Linked DNA regions of Styela clava. The protein of the gene in region 1 interacts with the protein of each later gene in a pairwise test. Links are inferred from orthologs where the notes say so. Each region holds a gene or a part of one and is shown on either strand. Other genes may lie near its edges.

Evidence for each region.
Region 2: the proteins of small ubiquitin-related modifier 2-A-like (region 1) and E3 SUMO-protein ligase PIAS2-like interact in a two-hybrid assay, tested with the Caenorhabditis elegans proteins (2 studies listed by BioGRID). The link is inferred for Styela clava from reciprocal best matches to the Caenorhabditis elegans genes smo-1 and gei-17.

The regions. Positions count from the first base shown.
Region 1 is NC_135251.1:15,394,184-15,400,752, reverse strand, and holds small ubiquitin-related modifier 2-A-like, read left to right. Parts: upstream 1-4,449; 5' UTR 4,450-4,588; coding exon 4,589-4,873; 3' UTR 4,874-5,766; downstream 5,767-6,569. Other genes in the region: mitochondrial ribosome-associated GTPase 2-like, read left to right, coding at 5,809-5,958, 6,444-6,569. UniProt on the Caenorhabditis elegans protein: Ubiquitin-like protein which can be covalently attached to target lysines as a monomer. Does not seem to be involved in protein degradation and may function as an antagonist of ubiquitin in the degradation process.
Region 2 is NC_135261.1:9,102,289-9,110,586, reverse strand, and holds the start of E3 SUMO-protein ligase PIAS2-like, read left to right. Parts: upstream 1-4,888; 5' UTR 4,889-4,898; intron 4,899-7,858; coding exon of another isoform or gene 7,859-8,050; exon of another isoform or gene 8,051-8,112; intron 8,113-8,298. Other genes in the region: cGMP-dependent protein kinase 1-like, read right to left, coding at 258-425, 1,380-1,508, 1,819-1,920, 2,612-2,716, 7,859-8,050. UniProt on the Caenorhabditis elegans protein: Functions as an E3-type smo-1 ligase. Mediates smo-1 conjugation to air-2 in vitro and is required for proper chromosome alignment.

The DNA.
Region 1 (6,569 bases):
TCTATCGTAACACTAAATATTGTTTGCAACTTAAAACTTTTACGTTACACTTACATTGCCCAACAGTCTAGGTGGACGAAATCTTTGGCCCTTGGTCCAAAAACCTTGCCCGCCCCTGGATTAGACCAGCCAACCCATTGATTATGTTAAAATTATCAAGTAAACAATATTGCACCACCTTATTTGTTTCTAAACCTCAGTGCAATGTTTTCACCACATATCTGTCCGAAGTTAATGATAAATGAAAGAAAGTAACCAAAAATATAAAACTTCAATATCATCAATTGATTGACATAATGCCATAGCATAACGCAAAAATGGAAAGTATATCTTGAAGACAAAATAACATTATCTGACTATCCGTAAACCAGTAACTCAACTGTAAAACGGAATCCAATGAACACAAATTATAATTAAATTTACATTACGCATTTTGTGTGTGTAACACCTTAGTTTGCACTGGACTACAGATTATTAGACCAGCGCACTGATGATTAGGAACAATGTAGATCTATATTTACCTACGTTTCCAGAGTGATTCTGTATCCTTATTTCTCAATCCGTGTGAGATATATTATCTCTAAAATAAACAAAAATCCCTACTCGATACAACTAGAGGCACGCATTCCAAGCCTGGCACCCAAGCACAGCCATCTGGCACGCGAGCGTGTTCTTGGAAACGTGGTCCTCCCTTAGATAAGATTTGAATACTTATCCTGGGGGTGAGAAAAGCCGATAAGACAGCTTAAACATAATATAGCGAACCATGGCCCCTCCAGTTACCATTCCATGTCGGGTATGGGACTAGTTAGTTATTGGACCTTACAATTGGACACGTCAGTGTACATAACGATCGTTTCAATATTATGCTGTTGTTCTTGTTAGTTTTCTCTTTCGTCATGATGAAATCGCTGTTCTCTACGAATACTATACCAATTGCTTCTAAATTTTCAGCGGTTAAAGATTGTTTTTTTTTGTCAAAAGGCTATTGTTTTTACTTATTTCAAAAATTTTGTGGACTTCAAGAGATTCGTTTTTTCATGTCAGAATAAAATAGCGACACCTTGTGACGTATCCATATATTTGAGCACAGCTCTCTTGTATGTTTTCGGAAGCATGGACTTGATGGTGGAGAAAGCCGTATACCCGACTAGCGGTTACGTGAATCATTCTACGGCGACGTGGAGTCCAGCAATGCTCTTGCACATTACCTATTAACTGAATATTCCGTTAACTATGATATTACTATCCCCGCATGATATTCGGACCTGCGAACATACGTTTTCAGAGGTGCGGTAGCGGGCGTATTCCTAACGCTTAGCACGATGAGCCACACCACCGCGCCATCTTTAGATAAATGTCGTATTATCTGATGAAACTTAATGTTTTTGTTTTATCTTCGTTTGTTAACAATCCGTTCTTTACTTAAACTAGGGTTGCCATATGCTATATTTTTCCCTGACATGTCCGGGATTTCAGTAGTCAAATTTGCGCCAGGGAGAAATGTTAAATGTCAGGGATTTTCGAATACAGGGAATCTCTGCCACAAATCGTCGAGTTTTTCATATATCGCGGATACACGGAATCCTATTTCCTAAGATCGTGAATTGTCAGCATTTTGTAATCGATATTTTGGTTGGACTACCTTTACCTGTACTTTATCCCGTTCTAGGGCTTAGTAGTGCTAAGGATTAAGCAACAAGTTGGCTCTTTTCGTTTTGCTGTGTATGTATTCTTTTCTCACGACGTTTTTCACGTTACAAAGAAATATATTGTAGGAAGTTGTAGATCGCGTGCTAGTTTGGCTTGCTTATTTATTATCTACATCCGCATATGGAAGTGAATTACTGTTCTCAGTGATGAACTTTTTTTAAGTATCGTAAAAGAAGTACCTGACTGATGAAGGTATTAGTTTGTGTATTTCGTTGAAGGTTACAAAATATGGGGCTCCCGAAGTATGCGAACCAAGATGGTGGACATCGGAATGTAATATTTGTACTAGGTTAGGGTTAGGCCATAATTTTAGGTATAAATACTACGAGAGGCTCTTGGCTAGTCTTCGAACTGATAATAGGACTAACATAAGGAAAATTGGAAAAAAATTATCGCCTAACCCTAACCTGTTACCCATGTTACGTTCCGATGTCCGCCATCTTGGTTCGCATACTTCGGGAGCACCCAAAATATAAACCTGATATAAAATTTATGTCAACGATAATACAGTAGCAGAAGTCTCACTGAAATAGCAAAAGAAAATTGATAAAAATATTTTTGTCGGACTAATATTTTCTTGAAATGTAATTTAATACCTGTTTAAAAGGTTTATTATCCTGCAGGTTTTGCTTTGAAAGTAGCAAAGCATTGTTTTTAAAAAGAATAAATTCATATTTGATTTAATACATTTTCACAAATTCATTGCCGAGCGGAGGAATTTTGCCATTTTATTTAGTCAATTTTGGCACGCAAATCAAAAAAGGTTACCCAATGCCCACCAGTGGTGAGCTGTGGCCGGAACGACATTCCGGTTGTATAAGTTCCCCCGACCTTTCACCCCGTGAAAATTCATTCTATACCTTCCTAATGAGGTTTGTATTGAATTGCTATGAATACTTCAATAATTTCACACAAACATATTTCATATATATAATTTATTTGCAGTTCTGTAAACGTCCGCGTCGTGTTCGGAATATATTACATTTTTGTGAATTAGGTGCGTTCCGGTTGTTACGATTTTTCCAGCTCATCACTGATGCCCACCCTTTATATGTTTATGGATGTGTATATTTTATGATTAGTGATCAATAATGCTGTAACTGTACTGTGTCAACTGTGCTTTAAATATCAATAAAAAAATTATCAAATAAAATAAGACACAAATAAAAAATACTCATGAAACATCATTATTTATTGTCGAGGTCCTTAAATCCCGAGGGGGCATCTGACTCTGATGCCCAAGTTGAATCGCTTCATTCTCGGAACATTTCGATCTATTCACCAAACTCGGTGTGCCATAGCGATGCCTATGCGCAATCACCGTGTTCATATATTCGAGCATTGCTTAATTGTTTTACTATGTATACAGTAATAATATCATTATTACAAAATTTACCGAACAAATGAATCACATGGACATCTAGTTATTTGGTTTGATAAATTTAACGATTGAATGTAGAACACGTGGGACGAGTCGGACACGTAAGACAAGTGGAACACGACATTTTGAAGACACCGCATAAATCGTGTGTTTTTGCTTTGACAAATTAAATGAACTTTCTTTCCCACTCTCTCTCTCTACATCTACAATAACGCGTTCATAATTTAGTTGTATTGTCTGCTAGGCTTACCCCTACTTCCACCTTTATCAGTGACGTCTGCCGGCATAAGATAAATTTACAAACAAGTCGTAAAATGCAATTCAAGAAAACAACATTCGGAGTTAAAAGCCTTTCTCTAAGATAACAGCAAACAAACTGTTAGCAAAATATCACTCCACATGTGATAGTATAACCACAATCTATGCCATCATATGTTCGTGTCGCTGGTTCGAATAATTTCTCATTTTTATTTTTAATATTTATTTAGTATATAATACTGTAAATCTTCTAATTATATATCCCGTGTATATGCATTTATCAGCAACTGCCACTGTTAATAATGCACGTATAGTTTGCTTTTGTCTTATAATAAAATGAGAATTTACATATTCGGTCACACTTCATTCGGCAATAATTGTTTTTCCGCCATATTCTGGAATCCTGTTCAAAACTGTGCAAATTTTTATCATCATTATGAACGTCATTATCATTGCACTGATAGATATGATGAATTGAACAAGTTTATATGCTCCTGTATATGTGATCGAGAATCTCCATTTCCCGTTCTTTGACATGGCTTATGTACACTCTCCTCTCTGTTAAAATTAGAGGAAGTTACTTTATTTCGTTGTTATCTTAATATTGGAACCCAGTATTTATAAAGTGAAACTATTGGGCATTTGTGCAAGTTTAATATGGTATACTCTTCCAAAAACCACTGGATGGGATAATTGGGTCTAAGCACAAAAAGCACTCAATTTTACTTTGTTTTGCTCGTTTGCATTTTGCTGAAGTGAACTCGTGGGTTGTTTCGACTCGCACAGTCCGCTGAAATTCTCATTGTTTTGCATTTTACTGAACGTGAAGTCGACCAATGCATCGTTTCGAGTTCGACCCGCACTGTTTGCTGAAATTTTCATTGTTTTGTATTTAAAAGTTATTGCCTAATTTTATATCGTGTATGTTTCCGGGACCCCTGCAATTTTTTCTCCTTTTGTGGTTCTGTTGTATTGATTGATTGATTGATAGTCGTCAAACCAGCATTTGCCGGTAACCTAAGAAAAGGCTAACGAGAACAACAACATACCAACAAAACTATCCATTGGTACACTTCAAGTCAAGTTTTTGTAATCAATATTCTGCCCCGGAAGATGGCGCACTAATTCCGCGCCGTCGTCCACGCTTTGTGATGGTTGTTGTTGCGCTGCGGCTCAATTCAGCTTGACTTTACTGTTAACGAAATACAGAAGTTGTGTGAATTGTTCAGGCTTGTGATGGCTGATGCAAAACCTAAGGATGTTAAGCCTGACGGCGATCAACATATAAACCTAAAGGTGTCAGGACAAGATGGCTCGGTAATTCAATTCAAGATTAAACGTCGCACGCCAATGAAAAAACTGATTACTGCATATTGTGATCGGCAAGGAGTTCAAATAGAAGCCATGCGGTTTCGTTTTGACGGGACGGCTATTTCGCTCGAGGACACCCCAGAAAAGCTTGAAATGGAGGACGATGATACAATAGATGTTTTCACTCAGCAAACTGGTGGAAACCTGTAAATATTTTCCAAGCAGCTTGTCTGGAATGTTTATACTGAGAGTATGATGATTATCTTACCTTTCTGCCTTTATAGACCATCAAATGATGGTGGTTCCCACCGAGACTGAGATTTAATGGTAATTTACTGACAAACTGCTCAAAAATGCCATGGACAAATGGAATACTCTCTTGTCCAGTTGTCTGTTTTGTGATCTATCAAATGGCTATTTCGGTATTCAGATGAGACTATGATATATTAGAATATGATACCGCATACGCATAATATTTCGATATGTTGGCTAATTATTGTATTCTATTGTCAGATACAGTAGATATGACATTACAACCAAATACCCAGGTACTAGTAATGTTGAATATGAGTTAAACATAATATAACATATTATTTGGCTGACACTGAATAAGGCTTTGAAAAATAATCATTATGAACAACTGGAAAGCAGAGTAATGTAAAGTTGTTATAATTCTATGTTTACATTAATTGCTGAATTGTTCTGTTCAATCATATTTTTACAAAAATGAAAATAGTATTCCCATTTATTTTGATATTTGTTTCCAATTTAGACCTTTTTAAAATTGCTGAATTGTGGTATCAAGTTTTTCTTTCTAGGCTATGTTAGTATGTTTCTTTTAAGTAGTCCTGTTACAATATCATAGAAATATGGTGTTTTGGTTGAGTTTTTATTATCAAGTGACACACATTATTATAAGCAAATAAACCTTGAAATCCTGAAATCAGTCGATTCAACAACTGCTATTATTTGGTAATGAAATATTCCTTGTGCTGAAGAATAAAACTGCATTGATTCGAAGATGTTTCATTTTGTCATTTATTCTATTTCCATTTTCTGTTCATTGTTTATAAAATAATGTCTGTCTGTCATATTTTAGTAAATTTAGATTAAAATCACTATATATAGCATGATATAACTGCTAAATGCTTTGTATATCACATAGAATAATTAGTCTTTTTTGTAACAAGTCATGCCATTTCACATTTATTTGCAATACTTTCTCTATTTCATCTCAATATTCTCGTAAGAAAAAAATTATCACTGGCAAGCCATATAGAACGGAAGAAGAATTGGTAAGATATAGCCGATTCCTTAGGTAGTGATTGGCTGTTCCTTATATTTGATTCATAGAATGCCAGTGTGTCAAATCAAAAGTTTTTTCCAAGTTGTTTCTATCTGAATGATACAGTTTAATAAACCCTTTTTTGGTTGACTTAGAGAATGACTGAAGTGATTTTAGCTTTTTACGAATTTAAATAAATTAGTTTAATGTGGTATATTACTATCCGCATTGTGACCAAAGTTTTAGATGGCACTTATGCCATGAATAACATCACTGCATTAAGTTTGAATGGTTTGCTTGCTACCAGTTAAAATGCACATTGAGTAAAATGTAACGATGTGAAGTTTGCCAATCAGTACTGAAGTTATGCATTTATTAATTGATGCCACTTGTGTCCTCATTTCATTTTTATTTGTGGGATGTATGAACTATGAATTGTATACTTCAAGTTATATTATGTGTGAATGCCATAAAACCTATTTCTGTTTTATTTAGGCTCAAAAGTTCATTGACCACAAGTTGATAAAAGTCTATGCAGGCAAAGGAGGAGATGGAAGATCATCGTTTTTGAGAGAAAAAAATCGTCCTATGGGTGGACCTGATGGTGGAAACGGTGGAAAT
Region 2 (8,298 bases), on another chromosome or scaffold:
ATTTTGTTTGTTTTGAGCACATACACGAGCGGGATATTCTAGCTTGAAATGGTGCAACAATCAGCGAATCGAGAAAATAATACGGTACTATTCGAATGGAAAATTGTGTTTCACATTGTTTATTGAAAATTTATGATTTCCCTTACTTAAAAATACGAAGTCAAGTAATCTTTGTAAGAACTTTGTAAGATTGCTTGAAATTGAAATGTTCACAGGCCGTGTGTCACTCACTCATCCTACTAACAGGTTAAATTTACCTGTGTTACATCACATGTTCCGATCTGAATTATATAAAATCGGTCTCCGTACATTCCTTCCTTTATTATTACTTTATTTTGAGGAAACGCCTCATACTGCATGTAATCGACCATTTCCTGCTTTTGTCTTTCATCAGAACGTTTCAGAAGATCATTAGATGCGATTGCCTGAAATAGAGAAACAAATATATTACAAAAGAGCAGACTAAAGTAATTTAATGCTGTATGAAAAACAGTCAAGGTCAGCAGCATCTGGGTTATCCAATCCAACAAAATTTGACAAATCAACAAAATTTATATGCTTTTTTATACCTGTTTTTAGAACATTATCTGTTTTAATTAAAAAATATTACTCTTTTATTTTTTAAAGTACTTGCACCTGCGAGTGGTAGAATGAGGCAATCTGATATGTAAATTGACTACATTTGTCTTTCCACAATTCTCTCCGCAAAGATAATGAATAACGATGGAAATATTGATTAGACACAAAAATGAATAAATCAATTTGTATCAAATTACTTATCGGTGAATTGAAAGTAAGTCGAAGCAATTTGGATGAGATTGATATTTATTGTATTGAATTAAAATGACATTGTTTGAATAACTGCATTTCTATTTGACTTTTGTTTTAATATTTTTCTATTACGAAATTGAGCACTCACGAGAGAACGATGCTTAAATATATGGACACGAAAGTCAAATGACTAATATGGCCACTGCAATCTCATAAAATGTTCGACCAACGGCTCCAAGAATTGTACCTAATGTCATATTAAATAGCACGGAAGGATGAGGCCGTGATATATGAAAACCAGCGAAATGAGAGTAAAAGGCCAGGCCCCGTAGGACTGAAACGGCTAATCTTCTGGCATTTTCCTCCATCTTCAGTTCAAAATCTGTAGGTCCATTGGTTGCCGAGACGACACGAAAACAGTTTTGCAATACGATTCATTGATCCAATTTTTGTTCAGAAAAGGGCGCATTGACTGAATTGTCTAGTCTATTTTCTCTACGTGACGAGGTTGAATTTTATCACATTAACAAAATAGCAGCAAGTCTAAAAATTAGACTGGAAATCGAAAGAATTGAATAAACCATTATATAAGGTATCAAAATACTTACATCCAATAAAAACTTTCTGTCATTCAGATTTTTTTCAACTTTTACAGCTTTCACGTTATCATTTTTCACCGTGTTTCCTCCAACACCGGGACGATGACGCCTTTGAGGTCGTTTTTCTACAGGCGGCATCTAAGAGAAACGAATAAAATTGGTTATTGACAATCTTTAATCATTATTTTAAGTTTCCCGTAGTCATGGTTTCGTAAGGCTTGATCTCGAGACATTTATGGCATGTTAATGCAAATGAATGAACAAAATTTATCAGTGTATTAATTTAAAACAGCTGTAATTTAAACAAATTTGAATAAAAAATAAAACAATTTCCAACATGAGTTTGTGATATGAAAATTTATAAGGACAATGACTTTAGGTAAACCGGGCATTGAGATTGTATTCAAAGTAGTAATCTAACCTAACCAGATAAGAAGAGTCAACTTACAACATCTATAAAAGTTCCCTCCATTTGTTTGATTTTCTTGTCTTTTTCTTGCAATTTTTCTCCCCATTCTTTCTCTTTTCGTTGGAAATTTTTATCGTTTATCTAGAAACATAAGAAAAATATAAATTTCTCCGAATGCTAACGCGCTAACGCGAGTTTATTTCGGCACTGAAGTTCACAGCAGTGCAAATTATTGCATGTAATTTGCGCCGTGTCGTCGTAAATGTATTTGTGTCTTCACGGCAGAAAGAGTAAAGCAAAGCCAAGAGTTATGTATTGTCATTCGATTTTTTATAATTATATAAATGATTTATATCATTACATGTATAGCATTGAAACATTTAGTTATTAGTTTCAACTCCAAGAGTATGTGCACCAAGATGGCGCACAACCTGAACATAGTATGTGTATACCAGGTTAGGGTTCAGGTTGTGAACCATCTTCGGGAGCGCCCAAATATGTACTGTTACGGTAGCAGACTCAATGTAGTCCGATATTGTTTTGTATTTAGCGATAGTTGTAAATATATGATAAATTATTTGATGATAAACGATTACGTATTCCAATGATGTTCGTATTTAAAGATTTTAAAATTAAATCATATATATGTATTGAAATTTGAAACAACTTAAATTATTTTTGAATTAAGCCTCAAAATTAATTATTGATTTTACCAATGAATAGTTACGATAAATAAAACATAAAATTAATTAAAAATAATCATTAGGTTCAAAAATCAATTAGAGGGAATTAAACAGCACACTGATTCGCATTTCACTCAGTGAAATCATACGTCAAGTTTCTCTTCCAGAGCTTTTACGCTGTTATTCAACTCTAATATCTCATCATCTTTTGAACTCAAATTCGTTTTGAGCTCACTTTCTGATTCCGATTTTTCCTGAATAAAATTTAATTTGTGAATATTTTCTGCCGTGGCTTAAAATTACAATAAGTTCATAAGTAAAAAGCAGTGTTTGGTGTTTGTTTGACGAATGCTTAGTAACGCAAAATGTTAACCTTATATCCGAAGATCGCTCCGAAAGCAGTGTTTATTTTTACGATAAGGATGTTTAAGTTAGTCATGTAGTCGGAATTATTTATCAGCTCCAATGCATCAATTCTGCGCAGCTGTATTCTGCGGGACCAAACAAAATCAACTTATGATTTAAATTGTCCCAGATTAGGTATGACATTGTATAATATTTTAATTAACCCGTCGTTGTGATGGTGAGAGAGCGCATGCGATGCTAGTTCGATACAAATTCCCGCGTAGTTCATTCGAGGTTTCTTCTATATATATGCGTGATTACGGTGGCGTAGTGGCTGACATTAACTAGTCAGCAAAATTTCGAATGTGACGCAACAATTGAACTTTTAGCAGCCGTTCAAACAACTTTTAGCCGTTCAAACACCCAGAGGGATTTTTGAGCATGACAGAAACGTTAGATTGATTTTCTGACGTTTCAGTTTAGTTACAGAATCAACAGTTATTCTCTAAAAAGCCGAGATAGACTATCCTAAAATTAGCTACCGGTACTTTTAATAGCAGGTAAGCAGATACGTTGAATCAAAATGATGGTTATGAACATGTGAACTAGTTTGTACATTTCAAACCACGAAAACATTGCTGTAATAAACATCAAACTTTTTGCGGATCTTTTGTAGAAAGCCCCCGACACTAATGCAAAATTGTGGGATTTGGGAAAACGACACCGCTATGTTTTTAAATAACAAATTAGTAATTATCTAGTTGAGGTTCAAAATGATTTGACAATTTCCAACGCAATCTGCAACTCAAACACTAATCGGATTTTTACAAATTTTCTTGTTTTGAGCGTTTGGCGCGGGTGTTGTACGAAAGATCCCATTTTGCAATGGTTAACTGTAGAAAAATTTCTGGGGTCAAGGCTCGGGCCAACATCTGTTTACTTCGAATATTTGCCAAGTTTATTCACTCATATTTTAAACTTATTCTACGAATGTAATTCATTTCAGTCAACTAATATTGACTGCAATCAATCATCAGTCTTAAGGCCTTGTTGGAAGTTCAAACAAGAATAAGGTCTCTCATGACGATGCTATTTTGTTAAATATTTATTCAGCAAACCAACGCCCAAAATTAGCCGAATTTTGCAAACAAATATATGAGAAATCGATAGATTTGGGTATTAATCAAATACTACAATTTATTACCAACAAATATTAAGAAAATGGTGCTCATTTTTAGAGAGAAAATTGTAATGGTAACATTTTATGCGTGTATAAATAATTATATATAGTGTTGATTAGCCTATATTGTTGTGAGCATGTCCCATTGCCGGTTATGTCAAGCATAGTGCTAACGATCTGTGATCTATGTAATGTACAGGGCATATAAGAACCAACATATGGCAATATTTAATCTGACATTAAAATTTGTGCACTAAAGAAGACTGATATAAATAAAATCAGTATAAAGTGGTTTTATCCTAATTATAACGAGTTGTGTTGAATTTAGCCAAAGCCAATAAATCCTCTTTTGCTAGCGAAAGAATTTATTGTATGCTGGATCTATGTAATTTTATTGACAAAATGTCTCAGACAATTACTCAAACCACTGCAAATTTCAACACAAAGATATACGGTAGTGAACGCGCTGCATCAACGTATTATATAGGCTCTGATGCAAGATAAACCAAATCTATAAGGTCAAGTAAATTCCAGGTCCGTGAAGGATTACAACTGACAAGGTTCTCAAAATACAACAATCAACGGTGTTATGCGACGTATTGGCGAGGCCAAGATTTTTGTTCTGTACGGCACCCATTTTCGTTGATGTAGTAATTACTAAGATGTACCGATATCAGGGATGGCCAATACCGAATAGTTCACTATTTCGAATACATTCGAAATTATTATTTTCGAATATGAAATTTCGAATACTTCGAAAGTAAAATCCAGTAATAGAATCTAAGTGTATGAAGGAATTTTCATACAATAAACAATGGAATAACTTCTATCTACAACCTGGCTATATTACCAGGCATTTCATGTTTGCAGATTATTGCGATATATATTTTATATAACATGAGTTGTATTAATTAACAGAATTAAAATAATACGACAAGGCATTTTAAATAGTGGTATCGGTGATGGATTTGAATGCTTGCGCAACACAAAATCATCCTAGTAAAACGCCCATACTTTTAAATACCAACCATTATCCAAATTATTTGTCAAAAAGCGGGATAAAGTATGAGTTCATTTTCAGACTTGTGACAATTTTTTTGTGAGTACAAAAATACGGATCAAAAAGTAAATATATTCGGGAACTTTACCACACATTTTAAGTCCGCAGATCGCCGTTGTATGTTTGTGTAATAATACTTTTATTATTTTATAAATACGAAAATAGGGTTCAAAAATTATTTATAATCGGGTAGTTTACCACACGTTCAATGTCCACAGATCACCGTTGTATTTTGTAAATACGAAAATAGGAATCAAAAATTAATATCAATCGCGAGTTTGCCTCACAATTTATGTCCACAGAATGCCGTGATATTGTGCCCGGATATAATTAATTTTTGATTCTTATTTTCGTACTCGAAAAAATTGTCACAAGTAGGAAAAATAATTTATACTTTATTACACATTCAAGTCCACAAATCGCCGTTGTATTTTTGAGTTATAATAGTTTTAATATTTTGTAAATACGAATCCGAAAATAATTATAATTGGGCAGTTCACCACACATTTCATGCCCACAAATACCCGTGGTATTTGGTATTAATACTTTCATTATCGATACTTTTGACCATCATTATCAAAATTATTTTCCAGAAAGCGGGTGAAAGTATTTTTCTAATAAATCAACTTGTTTCCCAACTTGTGACAATTTATTGGATATCGTAACAATTACGGCTATAAATACCGTATTTCCCGGCTAATAAGCCTACATGGCAAATAGGACGATGTATATTTTTAGCACTCAAAAAAGGGGGTTTCCCATATAGGCCGCCAAGAAGACGGGTAGAAAAATTATTCCCTGTTGTTCAGTTATGCTAATATGCGCTAATAATAATGTTTAGAACCAGATCACGTTTGTTTAGTAGAATCATACTCACAGAATTAACTATTTTTAACAATAAAGCGGTAATTTTAAGTTAAAAATCACAATCATTTTGAACAATCTATAATTTTATAGGGTCAGAACAGAACCAGATCATGTTTGTTTGGTAGAACCATACTCACGGAATTAACTATTCTCAACAACGAAGCGGTAAATTTAAATTATAAAGCGGCAATCATTTTGGACAACCTATCAACCCGAATGTTGAAATAATTTTGGAATGTGATAAGTACCACACGGTACGTCCACGGGTTATTTCACAGCTGTGTTTCATGTCCCTGTCGTTTTCTGCTGAATCGGCAAAACCAAAGGGTCATAAATCACTTACTTTATCTCGGTGGCGGTGGCCGTGTTTTCTCTTTTAAGTAACGATAACCGGCCTACGATTAAATATCATGATTGGCACACCCATAAGAACCAAATATAAGGTTTAACACAAATTATGCTTGAGAAGACTAATGCGAAAAATAAGCAGGCCACATAGAAATAAAATAAACATGCTTTCTCAATAAGGCGCCCCTCCCCCCAAAAAATCAAGCCAAAATTGGGTCTAGAAAAGCGACTTATTAGCCGGGAAATACGGTGATTGTCGATTTTTCGACTAATGGAAATGATTTTGTGAATTAAAAGACGAATGTCGGCAATGTCCACCAACGCAAACGTGCAAATGTGTCGCAACACTATGCGACGTACATTCGCGCTGAATATAAACAATCAAAATGCCGACTCATCGTCATGTAATACGTGAGAAAGCGTAAAAAGTCGTTTGAAGATTCCGGTAAAACGAAACACCGTGTTTACGGCGAAAAGTGACTACTATTCGTAATTATTCGGAAATGAGCCGAAAAGGTATTCGAATACCTTGATATTCGAATAATTTCGAATATTCGATTCGTTTTGGACAACCCTGACCGATATCACTATAAAAGTTGTCTGCGAACTATGTCTACAGTGAACAGTATTTCAGATTGAATAACCAACGGTTTATTAAAATACGTGAAGTAATCACATCGTTGACTGCTTTATATCATGGAAATTTGGATCCCAACACTTTCCTTAAATCTATACGACTGAATAAAATAACTAGATAATTATTCCTCTACCTGACATGTACTGATAATCGGACGAGAGGTTGTAGTACGCCCATGGTTAAGCCGTCTTATCGACTTTTCTCCCATAGGAATCACAAAGTAAACTATCTTATGGTAGTTTATGTAGATGTTTCGATGTTGGCGCGAGGAATGAAGAGTCACGCAACGGGAAAATTCACCATGATGTCTGATAGATATTTTGTCATGTTTACCATTTATTATTGAAAATGTAAACAAAAAACTTTGCCAGCGAAGATAGTCAAATAAGTTGAGATGAAATGGTTCATGAATAGCTAAAAACAGGTAAAATCTGCATAACCTATCAAATTGTCAAATTGAAAGTATAAATGATAATAACTTGATTTCAAAACAGTAAGAAGTTTAAATTGTAATAAAACGTCATGGTACCAAAAAACGAACGCCCTAATACCTGTTTCTACTCGCTATGATGTGAGCAATAGACTCGGAGGCAAAAGATGCCGCGGACATGATCCGTTATCGACATACGTATACTAACTTATCTGCTTGAAACATTCTAAATCAGATTAAAGTGCTAAATATATCGGCCTATTTTAACCGATACTGATATCGAAAAATTACCGATACATAGGGACATTTCTATAGTGAGTACTCGTAGTGGGTACGGCCTTCAACTTTTCTATATATATATATATTATGCTCGACCCCATCTGACTACGTCATCGAAAATTACGTCACAAACGATATAACAAGGTCAAACAGAACTAACTTTAAAAAAATTTATTCCCTATCTTGTGTTTTTATAATATTCAAGCACTGAAAATTAAACGTGAATTTTTCTTAAGCTTTTGTCACTTACTCGAAATTCTTGTTGAAGTGCAGTAAGATTTTTATTTAGTTCTGCACATTTTTCTTGCATTGATTCCAGTTCAACTTGTTTCTGATTCAGTTTTTCTTCGAGCTCCCTAATTTCTTCTGGGTAGTTCTTGTAAGATTCTTGTCCCTTTCCATCTGCTTTGTTTTTCGGACAGCAACATAGTAGAAACGACATTTTTTCCTGTGTTCAAAGCAATAATGTGTAGCCAAATATAAATAGTACTATCCTAAAATTGATTCATCTGTGAATAACCAACATTAATTAATATACACGAATAATAATTTATCAAATATAGAAAAATTATTCTTTTTGTTTTATGTTTCAATATTATTAAATTCTTGAATGAAACATCTTCTGTATTGCTCTGACTCATTCCGAATATGAGAACATGTCGTAACTCTAATAAAATGACCTTAGAAGCT